2 linked regions of the Saccharomyces cerevisiae S288C genome follow. The protein of the gene in region 1 interacts with the protein of each later gene in a biochemical or structural test. Each region holds a gene or a part of one and is shown on either strand. Other genes may lie near its edges. The genes, in order: MSO1 and SSO1.

The links.
Region 2: the proteins of MSO1 (region 1) and SSO1 form a complex in vitro, tested with the Saccharomyces cerevisiae proteins (one study listed by BioGRID).

Annotation. Positions count from the first base shown.
Region 1 is NC_001146.8:711,876-716,072, reverse strand, and holds MSO1 (Mso1p), read left to right. Parts: upstream 1-2,417; coding exon 2,418-3,050; downstream 3,051-4,197. Other genes in the region: LYS9 (saccharopine dehydrogenase (NADP+, L-glutamate-forming)), read left to right, coding at 685-2,025; YNR048W (putative aminophospholipid translocase regulatory protein), read right to left, coding at 3,262-4,197. UniProt on the Saccharomyces cerevisiae protein: Involved in secretion. Component of the secretory vesicle docking complex.
Region 2 is NC_001148.4:105,484-117,426, forward strand, and holds SSO1 (syntaxin), read left to right. Parts: upstream 1-1,791; coding exon 1,792-2,664; downstream 2,665-11,943. Other genes in the region: MIND complex subunit NSL1, read left to right, coding at 689-1,339; trifunctional fatty acid synthase subunit FAS2, read left to right, coding at 3,169-8,832; USV1 (Usv1p), read left to right, coding at 9,829-11,004; YPL229W (uncharacterized protein), read left to right, coding at 11,584-11,943. UniProt on the Saccharomyces cerevisiae protein: Required for vesicle fusion with the plasma membrane.

The sequences.
Region 1 (4,197 bases):
AGTGAGATTGCAATAAGCAATCAAGAGAGAAAAGTTTTTTGACTGATTTTCGACTTGCTTTTATACCGATTTTGAAAAGTCGCGGGGAAAAGCTGGCAATTATTTTTCATTTTTTTTCATTAGGGCTAGAAGTTGCTAAGAGCAAACAAACTGTTACTTGAAAGGTTTTCCCACGTTGGTAGCTACATATGCAAGAGTCTTATGTATCGTATCTAAGTGCCACGTAGGGGATTCCCATCATTTGATGATTTCCAAATATAATACCTGTAGAGAGCGGTGGAGCAAAAGTCAAATTTTAATCGCAACTGCAGACAAGTCAAGCTGAGGAAATTGTGGATGATCTCTTGTTTCTTTTGATATTCACCACAACAGAAGTGAAGAGTGTGATTGCGGTTACTACTGACCACGAAGCAATGCGTTTAGTAGTGAAAAGAATTACTCATACTCTGGAATCGAAATTCCGTTGGAAAAATTCGCTTTGTAGTGAAAAATAAAGATGTCAATAAAGGGTATTGAGAATTTCCAATGGAATTATCAGCAATAGATGATAGAAAGTAGCACAGAATTTGGCTTAATGGTATATAAACCGTAGGGTCCTGGTAAAATTACATGGGAAGGATCCTTAGGCAGTAGGGAAAACTTATCAGGACAATTGAGTTATATTAACGTATTATATATTTTAATATGGGAAAGAACGTTTTGTTGCTAGGATCTGGTTTTGTTGCACAACCTGTTATCGACACATTGGCTGCTAATGATGACATCAATGTCACTGTCGCATGTAGAACATTAGCCAATGCGCAAGCATTGGCCAAGCCCTCTGGATCCAAGGCTATTTCATTGGATGTTACCGATGACAGTGCCTTAGACAAAGTTCTGGCTGATAACGATGTTGTCATCTCTTTGATTCCATACACCTTCCATCCAAATGTGGTAAAGAGCGCCATCAGAACAAAGACCGATGTCGTCACTTCCTCTTACATCTCACCTGCCTTAAGAGAATTGGAACCAGAAATCGTAAAGGCAGGTATTACAGTTATGAACGAAATTGGGTTGGATCCAGGTATCGACCACTTGTATGCGGTCAAGACTATTGATGAAGTTCACAGAGCTGGTGGTAAGCTAAAGTCATTCTTGTCATACTGTGGTGGTTTACCAGCTCCTGAAGACTCTGATAATCCATTAGGATACAAATTTTCATGGTCCTCCAGAGGTGTGCTACTGGCTTTAAGAAACTCTGCTAAATACTGGAAAGACGGAAAGATTGAAACTGTTTCTTCCGAAGACTTAATGGCCACTGCTAAGCCTTACTTCATCTACCCAGGTTATGCATTCGTTTGCTACCCAAATAGAGACTCTACCCTTTTCAAGGATCTTTATCATATTCCAGAAGCCGAAACGGTCATTAGAGGTACTTTGAGATATCAAGGTTTCCCAGAATTTGTTAAGGCTTTAGTTGACATGGGTATGTTGAAGGATGATGCTAACGAAATCTTCAGCAAGCCAATTGCCTGGAACGAAGCACTAAAACAATATTTAGGTGCCAAGTCTACTTCTAAAGAAGATTTGATTGCTTCCATTGACTCAAAGGCTACTTGGAAAGATGATGAAGATAGAGAAAGAATCCTTTCCGGGTTTGCTTGGTTAGGCTTGTTCTCTGACGCAAAGATCACACCAAGAGGTAATGCTTTAGACACTCTATGTGCACGTTTAGAAGAACTAATGCAATATGAAGACAATGAAAGAGATATGGTTGTACTACAACACAAATTCGGTATTGAATGGGCTGATGGAACTACCGAAACAAGAACATCCACTTTAGTTGACTATGGTAAGGTTGGTGGTTACAGTTCTATGGCCGCTACTGTTGGTTATCCAGTTGCCATTGCAACGAAATTCGTCTTAGATGGTACAATCAAGGGACCAGGCTTACTAGCGCCATACTCACCAGAGATTAATGATCCAATCATGAAAGAACTAAAGGACAAGTACGGCATCTATCTAAAGGAAAAGACAGTGGCTTAAATAAGAAGAAATGTATCAAAAGGTTTATCATACGTAACAGTAACGGCACTTTATAAATCTTTCTTTAGTATTACTTATACTTTCATAAGGAAACGTAAAAAAAAAAAAACCGGAAAGAGGGACAAAATGGACTAGAACGTAATTGAGAGTGTAGTTCCTGAAGCTTGAACCGCTAGTAAGTCGTCTACCTTTAGTCTAAAAAGTATTGGCTATTGCATTTTATAGTCTTGCTTCTGATCAGAACGTATTAAATGAGCTCGTAAAGACTCTTAGGAGTTTTTCACTTTTAGAGATTAATACTATTAGGAAAGGTGCAAAAAAATAAAACGCCAACTAACTATTAGACGCTAGGCCCTAATACCAACTACCAGTATAACTAAGATTTCACGCATATGATGAGTCAAGTATCGCATTCCCAAGAAGGATCCGGGCGATTTTGGAACAAGTTTAAGTCGTCAACCAAATCGTTATCTACATCGTTGGCACATTTATCCATTAAAGCAGAAAAAGATGGTGATACTGTAAATACTACATTGGTCCATAAAGGGCTTGTGAAATTCTATGAAAATCAGCATCCTTTCCAGGGGTTCCCAGGATGGTTGGGGGAGAAGGAAGATTTACCGAACGAACGTAAAATATTAGATACTCAAGTGAAGCATGATATGAAGAAGCAAAACTCGCGTCATTTCTCGCCATCCTTTTCTAACAGAAGGAAGGCTTCTTCAGAAGATCCTATGGGTACACCTTCTTCAAACGGGAACACACCGGAGTACACGCCTGCGAGTAAATCGTTTCAAGATATATACAATAATCATACAAGCTCCTCTAGCGCGACACCGAGAAGAGCTTCATCACGGCCGACTAGACCTTCAGCAGGCCAAGAATTCAGGGCAAGTCTCGGTCGAAGTAAAACGTCGAACAGTTTCAACACCTCCAGCACGCCAACGCCGCCACCAGACGCAAGTAGTGGAGTAATGGCAATGAAGGACAGACTAAAGAGACGCAATAACGATTATGGATTTTAAATAGCACTATACCTTGCTGAAATAAAGCGAAAAGAACATTTAATGAATATATAGGTATCGTATATGTACTGAATAAAGTGTTTGATACAGAATGCAAGGAGATAATATAGTATGGTATATAACCTCGTCCTTATTTTGAATATACATGAAATTACAACGCTTCCCTAGAGACCGAATCAAACGCAGGGATTTTATAGTAAATGATAATCAATCATAAAATTTCTCTCAATGGAATACTAACGACACTACTCTCATCGAATGGGGTATCGCTGTTCTCAAAATTTAGGTAGCTATGATCATGCATAGGTCTTGGTTTGAAGATGACTTTTATCAGGAATAGTATGGCGAAAAGAGTTGCAATCCCGGCAACAATCAAATAAACAATCCCTAATGCCTCGTTTCCAGCACCGATAATACTGTTTGTGGTTAATACAAAAGATTTTGTTCCATAGAAAGATCTTACTGGGTAGTTGAGTTCTATATCAGCAATGTAAATACCCTTACCTAACCCATTGGTCTCATTTTTCATTGCTAGCTTATAGAAGTTGGGCAATGCAGCAGTTCTCATCCATATTTTGAACTGTTCCCAGTTTTGTAGGTCTGGAATGTTATCGTCAGTGTAGCCATTGGGAAATAACTTGGCCCAATTTGGGGGCGGTACGATATCGGATGCATTGTATTCGGTCTTTCCATATCTGTGGCTGTCGGTGTCCCACGCAATACCTTTTGTGGTAAGCAAATAATCTGCAGTATCGTTTACACCAGTAAGTGTTGTGCCGAATGTATCATTGAACATCGAATTTGCTATCAATCCACAGGGGAATATGGTCTTATTTTCTACCGTCCTTAAAGGGTCACAGTTTGGATCCAGATCATTTCCGATCAATGCTTTTCCTTTTAATTGGTCTAGGTCAAGAGATTGCACATATTCTCTATAGTTTTGATTGAAATTTGTTAGGCGGTAATAAACATAAGTAGATTTCTTGATATGATTTGGAACTTCGAACTGTATTCGACAAGTTTGATTGCCTAATTCAGGATCCGTAAGTACCATCCATTGAGGTTGGACTGCGACTTTCTTACTGAAGTGGTAGTCCACGTACTCGGAGGGAATCGTTTCAAAATGCTTCGCCGGTGCCAATGCATC
Region 2 (11,943 bases), on another chromosome or scaffold:
TTGCTTTGCTATATTTATTTTTTTTTTTCTTACGAGTAAAGAAGAAAATATTAGGTTATCTATGTTCCTTTTTCTAACTAATCACTCTTTCACTAAAGAATATTTCTTAGCAAAAATATGCGTACCTGCGTACCGGGTAAAAAGTCGCATTGTCCAAGTGCTGCTGCTTTTACGCAAAAGAACACATCTAACCGAAGAGGAATAAGCAGACCTGAACAATACCAAATAAAGAAGTTACTTCTTCTTTATCACCATTTTGACAGGTTTCTACATTTTTTTTTCCGTAGAGGGAAAACATATAAAAGCAGTCCAGTAATTGCTTGCTTTTTGAAATGGCTCTTTAAGCCTGAAAGCACAAGACGATTAGTGATATAGATAATATATACACAGATACACATGTACGTACATAAGTACTGATTTAGGCTGCAACCTTTTACCTGGCTCAACTGACACGAATATTTTGTTATCAGCCAAAATAAACGTTCATGATATATAGTGAGAAAAAAAGATCGATGGGACGACTCGCGGCCATTCCTTGTGCGTGCAGGAATCAAGAAAATAAACAAACCGGTACAGTACAATAAGCAGGCTGAGTAGGCGGAAAAAGTTTTATTCAGACGTGTACCGGAGCCTAAATCCTTTCTTACCCATAGCAACCACACTAAATATATTATTGTAACACGAGAAGATGTCACAAGGTCAGTCCAAAAAACTGGACGTAACTGTTGAGCAGCTTCGAAGTATATACCACCAGTTTCATGATATCTTGGAAGAAAAAACTGATTTGCATCTACCGAAGAAAGAATACGACGATGACGCTGTTAGGAGAGAGGTTCAGATACAGTTACAAGAATTTCTTTTGAGCGCTATGACGATGGCTTCGAAGTCACTAGAAGTTGTCAACGCCGACACGGTAGGAAAGACGGTAAAGCAATTGATCATGGAATCACAAGAGAAGTACATGGAGCCCTTTGACCTTGACCTGAATGAGCAAGTTAGAAAGATGTACCAAGAGTGGGAAGACGAAACCGTTAAGGTGGCCCAGTTGAGGCAAACGGGGCCTGCAAAAATCAACGAAGTTTACAACAACTCAAAGGATGAGTATTTGGCACAATTGGATGGGAGAATCGGCGTTCTTCAAGCTAGAATGATGCAGCAACAATCTGCTGACCATGATGATAGTACCGACGATGCCGATGATCACATCAACTGGGAGCACATCAAGCAGGATTACGTTGCCTCACTCAATGAATTGTATCAAACACAGCAAGACCTACCCAAGGTAAGATATAACGTTGAAAAGGTCAAGCGCTTAATGGACTTCCTGGAGGAGGATTGAATAAATAACATATAAGACAGTCAACCTCGTGGTAAATGATAACTATATTCTGGGGCTTTATTCATTTTTTTACACTTTTTTATCTTTGTACGAAGAGCTGAAAATAAAAAAGTATAGAGCCAGCCTTTTCCCACACACTAACGACAAAAGACGATATGCAGGCTGTGCGCATGGGGGAGAATCCAGTTTTTGCCCGTTAAAGAGAAAAAATTAGTGTCTGTGAAACGCGAATACAAAAAAAGAAAAGTAGCAGGATCTTACTTCTCGTAAAGACGTCAAGAACCAAATCAAGTCAAATCGTGGAAGTTACAAGGGGAAAGACCAATAACTTTTAGTAAAGAACAAAGAAAGGTCTATCTCACGCAGTGACGGTCTTTGCGGTAAATCTGTGTATACTTGAAAGAAAACCCTTTTACAATTAAAAAAGGCAATTAAAAATAGAAACAAATCAAATGAGTTATAATAATCCGTACCAGTTGGAAACCCCTTTTGAAGAGTCATACGAGTTGGACGAAGGTTCGAGCGCTATCGGTGCTGAAGGCCACGATTTCGTGGGCTTCATGAATAAGATCAGTCAAATCAATCGCGATCTCGATAAGTACGACCATACCATCAACCAGGTCGATTCTTTGCATAAGAGGCTACTGACCGAAGTTAATGAGGAGCAAGCAAGTCACTTAAGGCACTCCCTGGACAACTTCGTCGCACAAGCCACGGACTTGCAGTTCAAACTGAAAAATGAGATTAAAAGTGCCCAAAGGGATGGGATACATGACACCAACAAGCAAGCTCAGGCGGAAAACTCCAGACAAAGATTTTTGAAGCTTATCCAGGACTACAGAATTGTGGATTCCAACTACAAGGAGGAGAATAAAGAGCAAGCCAAGAGGCAGTATATGATCATTCAACCAGAGGCCACCGAAGATGAAGTTGAAGCAGCCATAAGCGATGTAGGGGGCCAGCAGATCTTCTCACAAGCATTGTTGAATGCTAACAGACGTGGGGAAGCCAAGACTGCTCTTGCGGAAGTCCAGGCAAGGCACCAAGAGTTATTGAAACTAGAAAAATCCATGGCAGAACTTACTCAATTGTTTAATGACATGGAAGAACTGGTAATAGAACAACAAGAAAACGTAGACGTCATCGACAAGAACGTTGAAGACGCTCAACTCGACGTAGAACAGGGTGTCGGTCATACCGATAAAGCCGTCAAGAGTGCCAGAAAAGCAAGAAAGAACAAGATTAGATGTTGGTTGATTGTATTCGCCATCATTGTAGTCGTTGTTGTTGTCGTTGTTGTCCCAGCCGTTGTCAAAACGCGTTAATTCCAACTATTTTCTATATTTCTATTCTATCCGAACTCCCCTTTTGTATATCAATATATCTTAATACTTTCGCCTATTCTTTACTATATTTCCTAAATTTTCTCTGGTCTGCAGGCCAAAAACAACAACTTACTACTGAATCATGGACGTGTATTTAGTTTAGCCAAGCAATATTTAAATATCACTCTTCCTAAAAATACATTGGGCATTACCCGCAAACTAACCCATCGCTTAGCAAAATCCAACCATTTTTTTTTTATCTCCCGCGTTTTCACATGCTACCTCATTCGCCTCGTAACGTTACGACCGAAATCTCACTAAGGCACGGTTTGTTGGGCAGTTTACAGATGTTGGATAACCAGTTGTTTCTAAACGGTTATGCCTCATATATAACTTGTTAACTGAAGGTTACACAAGACCACATCACCACTGTCGTGCTTTTCTAATAACCGCTATATTAGACGTTTAAAGGGCTACAGCAACACCAATTGAAATACCATCATTATGAAGCCGGAAGTTGAGCAAGAATTAGCTCATATTTTGCTAACTGAATTGTTAGCTTATCAATTTGCCTCTCCTGTGAGATGGATTGAAACTCAAGATGTTTTTTTGAAGGATTTTAACACTGAAAGGGTTGTTGAAATCGGTCCTTCTCCAACTTTGGCTGGGATGGCTCAAAGAACCTTGAAGAATAAATACGAATCTTACGATGCTGCTCTGTCTTTACATAGAGAAATCTTATGCTATTCGAAGGATGCCAAAGAGATTTATTATACCCCAGATCCATCCGAACTAGCTGCAAAGGAAGAGCCCGCTAAGGAAGAAGCTCCTGCTCCAACTCCAGCTGCTAGTGCTCCTGCTCCTGCAGCAGCAGCCCCAGCTCCCGTCGCGGCAGCAGCCCCAGCTGCAGCAGCTGCTGAGATTGCCGATGAACCTGTCAAGGCTTCCCTATTGTTGCACGTTTTGGTTGCTCACAAGTTGAAGAAGTCGTTAGATTCCATTCCAATGTCCAAGACAATCAAAGACTTGGTCGGTGGTAAATCTACAGTCCAAAATGAAATTTTGGGTGATTTAGGTAAAGAATTTGGTACTACTCCTGAAAAACCAGAAGAAACTCCATTAGAAGAATTGGCAGAAACTTTCCAAGATACCTTCTCTGGAGCATTGGGTAAGCAATCTTCCTCGTTATTATCAAGATTAATCTCATCTAAGATGCCTGGTGGGTTTACTATTACTGTCGCTAGAAAATACTTACAAACTCGCTGGGGACTACCATCTGGTAGACAAGATGGTGTCCTTTTGGTAGCTTTATCTAACGAGCCTGCTGCTCGTCTAGGTTCTGAAGCTGATGCCAAGGCTTTCTTGGACTCCATGGCTCAAAAATACGCTTCCATTGTTGGTGTTGACTTATCATCAGCTGCTAGCGCTAGTGGTGCTGCCGGTGCAGGTGCTGCTGCCGGTGCAGCTATGATCGATGCTGGCGCTCTGGAAGAAATAACCAAAGACCACAAGGTTTTGGCGCGTCAACAACTGCAAGTATTGGCTCGTTATCTAAAAATGGACTTGGATAACGGTGAAAGAAAGTTCTTGAAAGAAAAGGACACTGTTGCTGAACTTCAAGCTCAGTTGGATTACTTGAATGCCGAATTAGGTGAATTCTTTGTTAACGGTGTTGCTACTTCTTTCTCTAGAAAAAAGGCCAGAACCTTCGATTCTTCCTGGAACTGGGCTAAACAATCTTTATTATCATTATACTTTGAGATAATTCATGGTGTCTTGAAAAACGTTGATAGAGAGGTTGTTAGTGAAGCTATCAATATCATGAACAGATCTAACGATGCTTTGATTAAATTCATGGAATACCATATCTCTAACACTGATGAAACAAAAGGTGAAAACTATCAATTGGTTAAAACTCTTGGTGAGCAGTTGATTGAAAACTGTAAACAAGTTTTGGATGTTGATCCAGTTTACAAAGATGTTGCTAAGCCTACCGGTCCAAAAACTGCTATTGACAAGAACGGTAACATTACATACTCAGAAGAGCCAAGAGAAAAGGTTAGGAAATTATCTCAATACGTACAAGAAATGGCCCTTGGTGGTCCAATCACCAAAGAATCTCAACCTACTATTGAAGAGGATTTGACTCGTGTTTACAAGGCAATCAGTGCTCAAGCTGATAAACAAGATATTTCCAGCTCCACCAGGGTTGAATTTGAAAAACTATATAGTGATTTGATGAAGTTCTTGGAAAGCTCCAAAGAAATCGATCCTTCTCAAACAACCCAATTGGCCGGTATGGATGTTGAGGATGCTTTGGACAAAGATTCCACCAAAGAAGTTGCTTCTTTGCCAAACAAATCTACCATTTCTAAGACGGTATCTTCAACTATTCCAAGAGAAACTATTCCGTTCTTACATTTGAGAAAGAAGACTCCTGCCGGAGATTGGAAATATGACCGCCAATTGTCTTCTCTTTTCTTAGATGGTTTAGAAAAGGCTGCCTTCAACGGTGTCACCTTCAAGGACAAATACGTCTTGATCACTGGTGCTGGTAAGGGTTCTATTGGTGCTGAAGTCTTGCAAGGTTTGTTACAAGGTGGTGCTAAGGTTGTTGTTACCACCTCTCGTTTCTCTAAGCAAGTTACAGACTACTACCAATCCATTTACGCCAAATATGGTGCTAAGGGTTCTACTTTGATTGTTGTTCCATTCAACCAAGGTTCTAAGCAAGACGTTGAAGCTTTGATTGAATTTATCTACGACACTGAAAAGAATGGTGGTTTAGGTTGGGATCTAGATGCTATTATTCCATTCGCGGCCATTCCAGAACAAGGTATTGAATTAGAACATATTGATTCTAAGTCTGAATTTGCTCATAGAATCATGTTGACCAATATCTTAAGAATGATGGGTTGTGTCAAGAAGCAAAAATCTGCAAGAGGTATTGAAACAAGACCAGCTCAAGTCATTCTACCAATGTCTCCAAACCATGGTACTTTCGGTGGTGATGGTATGTATTCAGAATCCAAGTTGTCTTTGGAAACTTTGTTCAACAGATGGCACTCTGAATCCTGGGCCAATCAATTAACCGTTTGCGGTGCTATTATTGGTTGGACTAGAGGTACTGGTTTAATGAGCGCTAATAACATCATTGCTGAAGGCATTGAAAAGATGGGTGTTCGTACTTTCTCTCAAAAGGAAATGGCTTTCAACTTATTGGGTCTATTGACTCCAGAAGTCGTAGAATTGTGCCAAAAATCACCTGTTATGGCTGACTTGAATGGTGGTTTGCAATTTGTTCCTGAATTGAAGGAATTCACTGCTAAATTGCGTAAAGAGTTGGTTGAAACTTCTGAAGTTAGAAAGGCAGTTTCCATCGAAACTGCTTTGGAGCATAAGGTTGTCAATGGCAATAGCGCTGATGCTGCATATGCTCAAGTCGAAATTCAACCAAGAGCTAACATTCAACTGGACTTCCCAGAATTGAAACCATACAAACAGGTTAAACAAATTGCTCCCGCTGAGCTTGAAGGTTTGTTGGATTTGGAAAGAGTTATTGTAGTTACCGGTTTTGCTGAAGTCGGCCCATGGGGTTCGGCCAGAACAAGATGGGAAATGGAAGCTTTTGGTGAATTTTCGTTGGAAGGTTGCGTTGAAATGGCCTGGATTATGGGCTTCATTTCATACCATAACGGTAATTTGAAGGGTCGTCCATACACTGGTTGGGTTGATTCCAAAACAAAAGAACCAGTTGATGACAAGGACGTTAAGGCCAAGTATGAAACATCAATCCTAGAACACAGTGGTATCAGATTGATCGAACCAGAGTTATTCAATGGTTACAACCCAGAAAAGAAGGAAATGATTCAAGAAGTCATTGTCGAAGAAGACTTGGAACCATTTGAGGCTTCGAAGGAAACTGCCGAACAATTTAAACACCAACATGGTGACAAAGTGGATATCTTCGAAATCCCAGAAACAGGAGAGTACTCTGTTAAGTTACTAAAGGGTGCCACTTTATACATTCCAAAGGCTTTGAGATTTGACCGTTTGGTTGCAGGTCAAATTCCAACTGGTTGGAATGCTAAGACTTATGGTATCTCTGATGATATCATTTCTCAGGTTGACCCAATCACATTATTCGTTTTGGTCTCTGTTGTGGAAGCATTTATTGCATCTGGTATCACCGACCCATACGAAATGTACAAATACGTACATGTTTCTGAGGTTGGTAACTGTTCTGGTTCTGGTATGGGTGGTGTTTCTGCCTTACGTGGTATGTTTAAGGACCGTTTCAAGGATGAGCCTGTCCAAAATGATATTTTACAAGAATCATTTATCAACACCATGTCCGCTTGGGTTAATATGTTGTTGATTTCCTCATCTGGTCCAATCAAGACACCTGTTGGTGCCTGTGCCACATCCGTGGAATCTGTTGACATTGGTGTAGAAACCATCTTGTCTGGTAAGGCTAGAATCTGTATTGTCGGTGGTTACGATGATTTCCAAGAAGAAGGCTCCTTTGAGTTCGGTAACATGAAGGCCACTTCCAACACTTTGGAAGAATTTGAACATGGTCGTACCCCAGCGGAAATGTCCAGACCTGCCACCACTACCCGTAACGGTTTTATGGAAGCTCAAGGTGCTGGTATTCAAATCATCATGCAAGCTGATTTAGCTTTGAAGATGGGTGTGCCAATTTACGGTATTGTTGCCATGGCTGCTACCGCCACCGATAAGATTGGTAGATCTGTGCCAGCTCCAGGTAAGGGTATTTTAACCACTGCTCGTGAACACCACTCCAGTGTTAAGTATGCTTCACCAAACTTGAACATGAAGTACAGAAAGCGCCAATTGGTTACTCGTGAAGCTCAGATTAAAGATTGGGTAGAAAACGAATTGGAAGCTTTGAAGTTGGAGGCCGAAGAAATTCCAAGCGAAGACCAAAACGAGTTCTTACTTGAACGTACCAGAGAAATCCACAACGAAGCTGAAAGTCAATTGAGAGCTGCACAACAACAATGGGGTAACGACTTCTACAAGAGGGACCCACGTATTGCTCCATTGAGAGGAGCACTGGCTACTTACGGTTTAACTATTGATGACTTGGGTGTCGCTTCATTCCACGGTACATCCACAAAGGCTAATGACAAGAACGAATCTGCCACAATTAATGAAATGATGAAGCATTTGGGTAGATCTGAAGGTAATCCCGTCATTGGTGTTTTCCAAAAGTTCTTGACTGGTCATCCAAAGGGTGCTGCTGGTGCATGGATGATGAATGGTGCTTTGCAAATTCTAAACAGTGGTATTATTCCAGGTAACCGTAACGCTGATAACGTGGATAAGATCTTGGAGCAATTTGAATACGTCTTGTACCCATCCAAGACTTTAAAGACCGACGGTGTCAGAGCCGTGTCCATCACTTCTTTCGGTTTTGGTCAAAAGGGTGGTCAAGCTATTGTGGTTCATCCAGACTACTTATACGGTGCTATCACTGAAGACAGATACAACGAGTATGTCGCCAAGGTTAGTGCCAGAGAGAAAAGTGCCTACAAATTCTTCCATAATGGTATGATCTACAACAAGTTGTTCGTAAGTAAAGAGCATGCTCCATACACTGATGAATTGGAAGAGGATGTTTACTTGGACCCATTAGCCCGTGTATCTAAGGATAAGAAATCAGGCTCCTTGACTTTCAACTCTAAAAACATCCAAAGCAAGGACAGTTACATCAATGCTAACACCATTGAAACTGCCAAGATGATTGAAAACATGACCAAGGAGAAAGTCTCTAACGGTGGCGTCGGTGTAGATGTTGAATTAATCACTAGCATCAACGTTGAAAATGATACTTTTATCGAGCGCAATTTCACCCCGCAAGAAATAGAGTACTGCAGCGCGCAGCCTAGTGTGCAAAGCTCTTTCGCTGGGACATGGTCCGCCAAAGAGGCTGTTTTCAAGTCCTTAGGCGTCAAGTCCTTAGGCGGTGGTGCTGCATTGAAAGACATCGAAATCGTACGCGTTAACAAAAACGCTCCAGCCGTTGAACTGCACGGTAACGCCAAAAAGGCTGCCGAAGAAGCTGGTGTTACCGATGTGAAGGTATCTATTTCTCACGATGACCTCCAAGCTGTCGCGGTCGCCGTTTCTACTAAGAAATAGAGAGAGCACTACGTAGTCCCTCTTTTAATATGTAACGTGTCGCTTCTATTTATCAGACATAATAGTAATTACTTTGTTATTTTTCTATCGTTTCCTTACTTTAGCCTCTGATTTCGATCTGGCCTAATCATTGTGTACGTCTATAATCATATGGCCCTGAGCGTACACACCGTTCAATTCTTCTATTTGGTCGGCCCACACAAATTCGCGCGGGGGCATATTGACGCGTGGAAGAATAGAAGTCCGCGTAGCAGCTCTGGGGTAATTAGGCTTTTACGATATCGGCTGGCCCAGCACCGGTTTTTATTCCTCCCGTGGTTGTTGTCTCTACCGTGAGGAGGGGAAAGGGTCAGGGACGGCCGGTAGTTATGTTGTCTCAACGATTACTGCCATCTATTGTTTACACCAATCGCGTGGGGCAAGGGGCTGGAAGGCTGTGGTGTACAGAATAGGGTCTAATACCCGATGCGCGACGCTCCTGCGACTGGTTGTGTGAGCCACCCCTTGATCGCCTCTGCCAAATACTCAGGGAAGAGAAAAATCGCGAAGGTGGACGAGTGCCCTTAAAGAACCAGCATCCTCGATCGCCGCTGCCGTTCGCCCTGGCTTAGCGGTGGGAAGCATCCTTTGGCTTTCGAATTCTCCGCCGTTGAGTCCCCCTAAGGGCCTTATTTATCCCCTCTATTTTTTTTTAGAAAATGTTTTCTTTTTCAAGATTTGTTTGCTCCTTCACGGCTTCCCCCTTAACCGTTCAACAGTCTTCCGTATATAACAATCTCAATCCACTCTTATTGCCTATAATTTTGATTAATTCTTATTCATCCCGGCAGATAAAGTTTCGTCTTGTTTTGAAAGAGACAGGAGTTCTTGGCTGCAGTATTTTGCAACAGCTTCATTAACCATGTATGTAAAGAAAAAATCTGGAGCGACTTACTGGCTTAGCTTTTTTTACTAACACATAAATAATACTGTGATAAGATAAGAAAAAAACACGAAATGGAAAATACCACGAATCGTAATACTGCAGGCGTTCTTACGAGCAGCAATGGTAACTTTGCCACCAATAGTGTAGCGGCATCAACTCCGAAGAGGTCCAAAAGTGCTCGAAGGAAAACGTTCAAATGCACCGGATATGACGGTTGTACGATGTCCTTCACTAGAGCGGAACATCTTGCACGTCATATAAGAAAGCACACTGGTGAAAAGCCGTTCCAGTGTCCTGCATGTTTGAAATTCTTCAGTAGAGTTGATAATTTGAAACAGCATCGGGAATCGGTCCATGCACATAAAAACCACCATTCTACCAGCTCGCACCAGCGTAAGCCTTCCTCTTCATCTTTATCCTCCTCTTCTTCTGCATCTTCTTCGTCTTCTGCTTCATCATCTACATCATATAGTGATCCTTACAGGAAAACTAATATTAATAGCGGGAACATGCCGATGATGGCAGAAAACGAAAAAGCGCCCCAAATAATACATTCTTCGCCGGAGTTCATTACTAGCACGAGAAGCATCCCACCCATCTCTCCAAGGTCCATTTATAATACCCAACGACAGCAACAACACCAACAACAACAGCATCAACAGGCTCCCTATTATTTTCCTTCCCATCCAATCACTGATAGTTACTACCAGTATCCTCTTCCCAGTAATAATAACACCATCAATTATTTACCATCAGTAGATGTGCAGTATCCTTTGAATGTGAGCCCCTCCTCAACGAGCCATCCGGCCTCTGAGGTAATCATATCGTCCTTTCCTCCGAGGTCCATGCCAAGTACTTCCTTCAAATATAAAGATTCTGCCGACTTTCAAGCACGGACAACTATGAACAAATACAATATTAGACCAAGCAATATCAATGTCAATACTAGTAATATCAATAACCATCTTGATTCATTCTCCCCGCCGTTTTCTCCGTCAACGACAGTTGCTGAAGCAAAACCAATTATTTTACCACAGTATCAGCAGGCATTTAGCCAACCACCAAATGGAAATAAAAACAATAATATGTCTTCCTCGAAGAATGGCGGCAAAGGGGGAGAAAATTTCAAGAATACTGATGATCGCAATGATAATAATAACAAAAAGAGGTCGGAAACTTTATCAGAGTCTGATATTTCGGTCAACACCAATAAGAAAAGGCTTAGTGTTGATTACATATTGACTTGATCGAGGCAATCTGATCTAAGTTTCAAATATTCCGTAGAGTATAAATATCTTACAACTAATATAATTCTTAATATGCGCAAACAAATTATGGTGCGCATCTTTTTTTATTTTTATGTTTTGTTCCATACTAAATGCAGTTTATAAAATTTTTCAAATGAGTCAAGCTATGTATAATCAGTGCTACAAAAATGATAAGATGCAATTGCAAGAAAAAATCCCTTGCATAAAGGGCTTTCTGACCTCTTGCGTTGATCAACGAGAAATAACCGCAAAACTTAATTTTAAACTCCCGCGTCTGCTTTACACAGCCCACAGTAGCATCAAAAACTACGATGTAACACTAACGGTGGATTGTGAATACGGAACGAACAATCCTGCATCTTGACTTCAAAACTTGATCATATACACCTATACCGCCATGGTTATCTCGCCCTTACGCTCACCCGGACCCCCGTTAATTGCAATAATAAGAAAAAGAAAAGAAAGAAGCTTTTTATCTCATTTCACTGACAAGATGACGCTTTTTCCGATTTTAGCAGATAAACTATCACATATAACCACTTTTTTATATTACATGAAATGATGCCCTACAACACCCCTCCAAATATCCAAGAACCTATGAACTTCGCAAGCAGCAACCCCTTTGGTATTATTCCAGATGCGCTCAGTTTCCAGAATTTCAAATATGATCGTCTTCAGCAGCAGCAACAGCAGCAGCAACAGCAGCAACAAAATCGCACTGCGTCATCGTTACAGCAGCCGCAACAGCAACAACCAATAAGCCCGCCTTTGTTTTTAGTAGGGGCCGGTACCAGCGAAAACTCAAACCTTAACAAGAATGCCAACACTAGTACTATCCCTCCTTTACTCTTTAGCAGATCGTCTCAGCATTATGTTGTCCCAGATATAGACCACTCCTCCATAATATACAAGAACAAC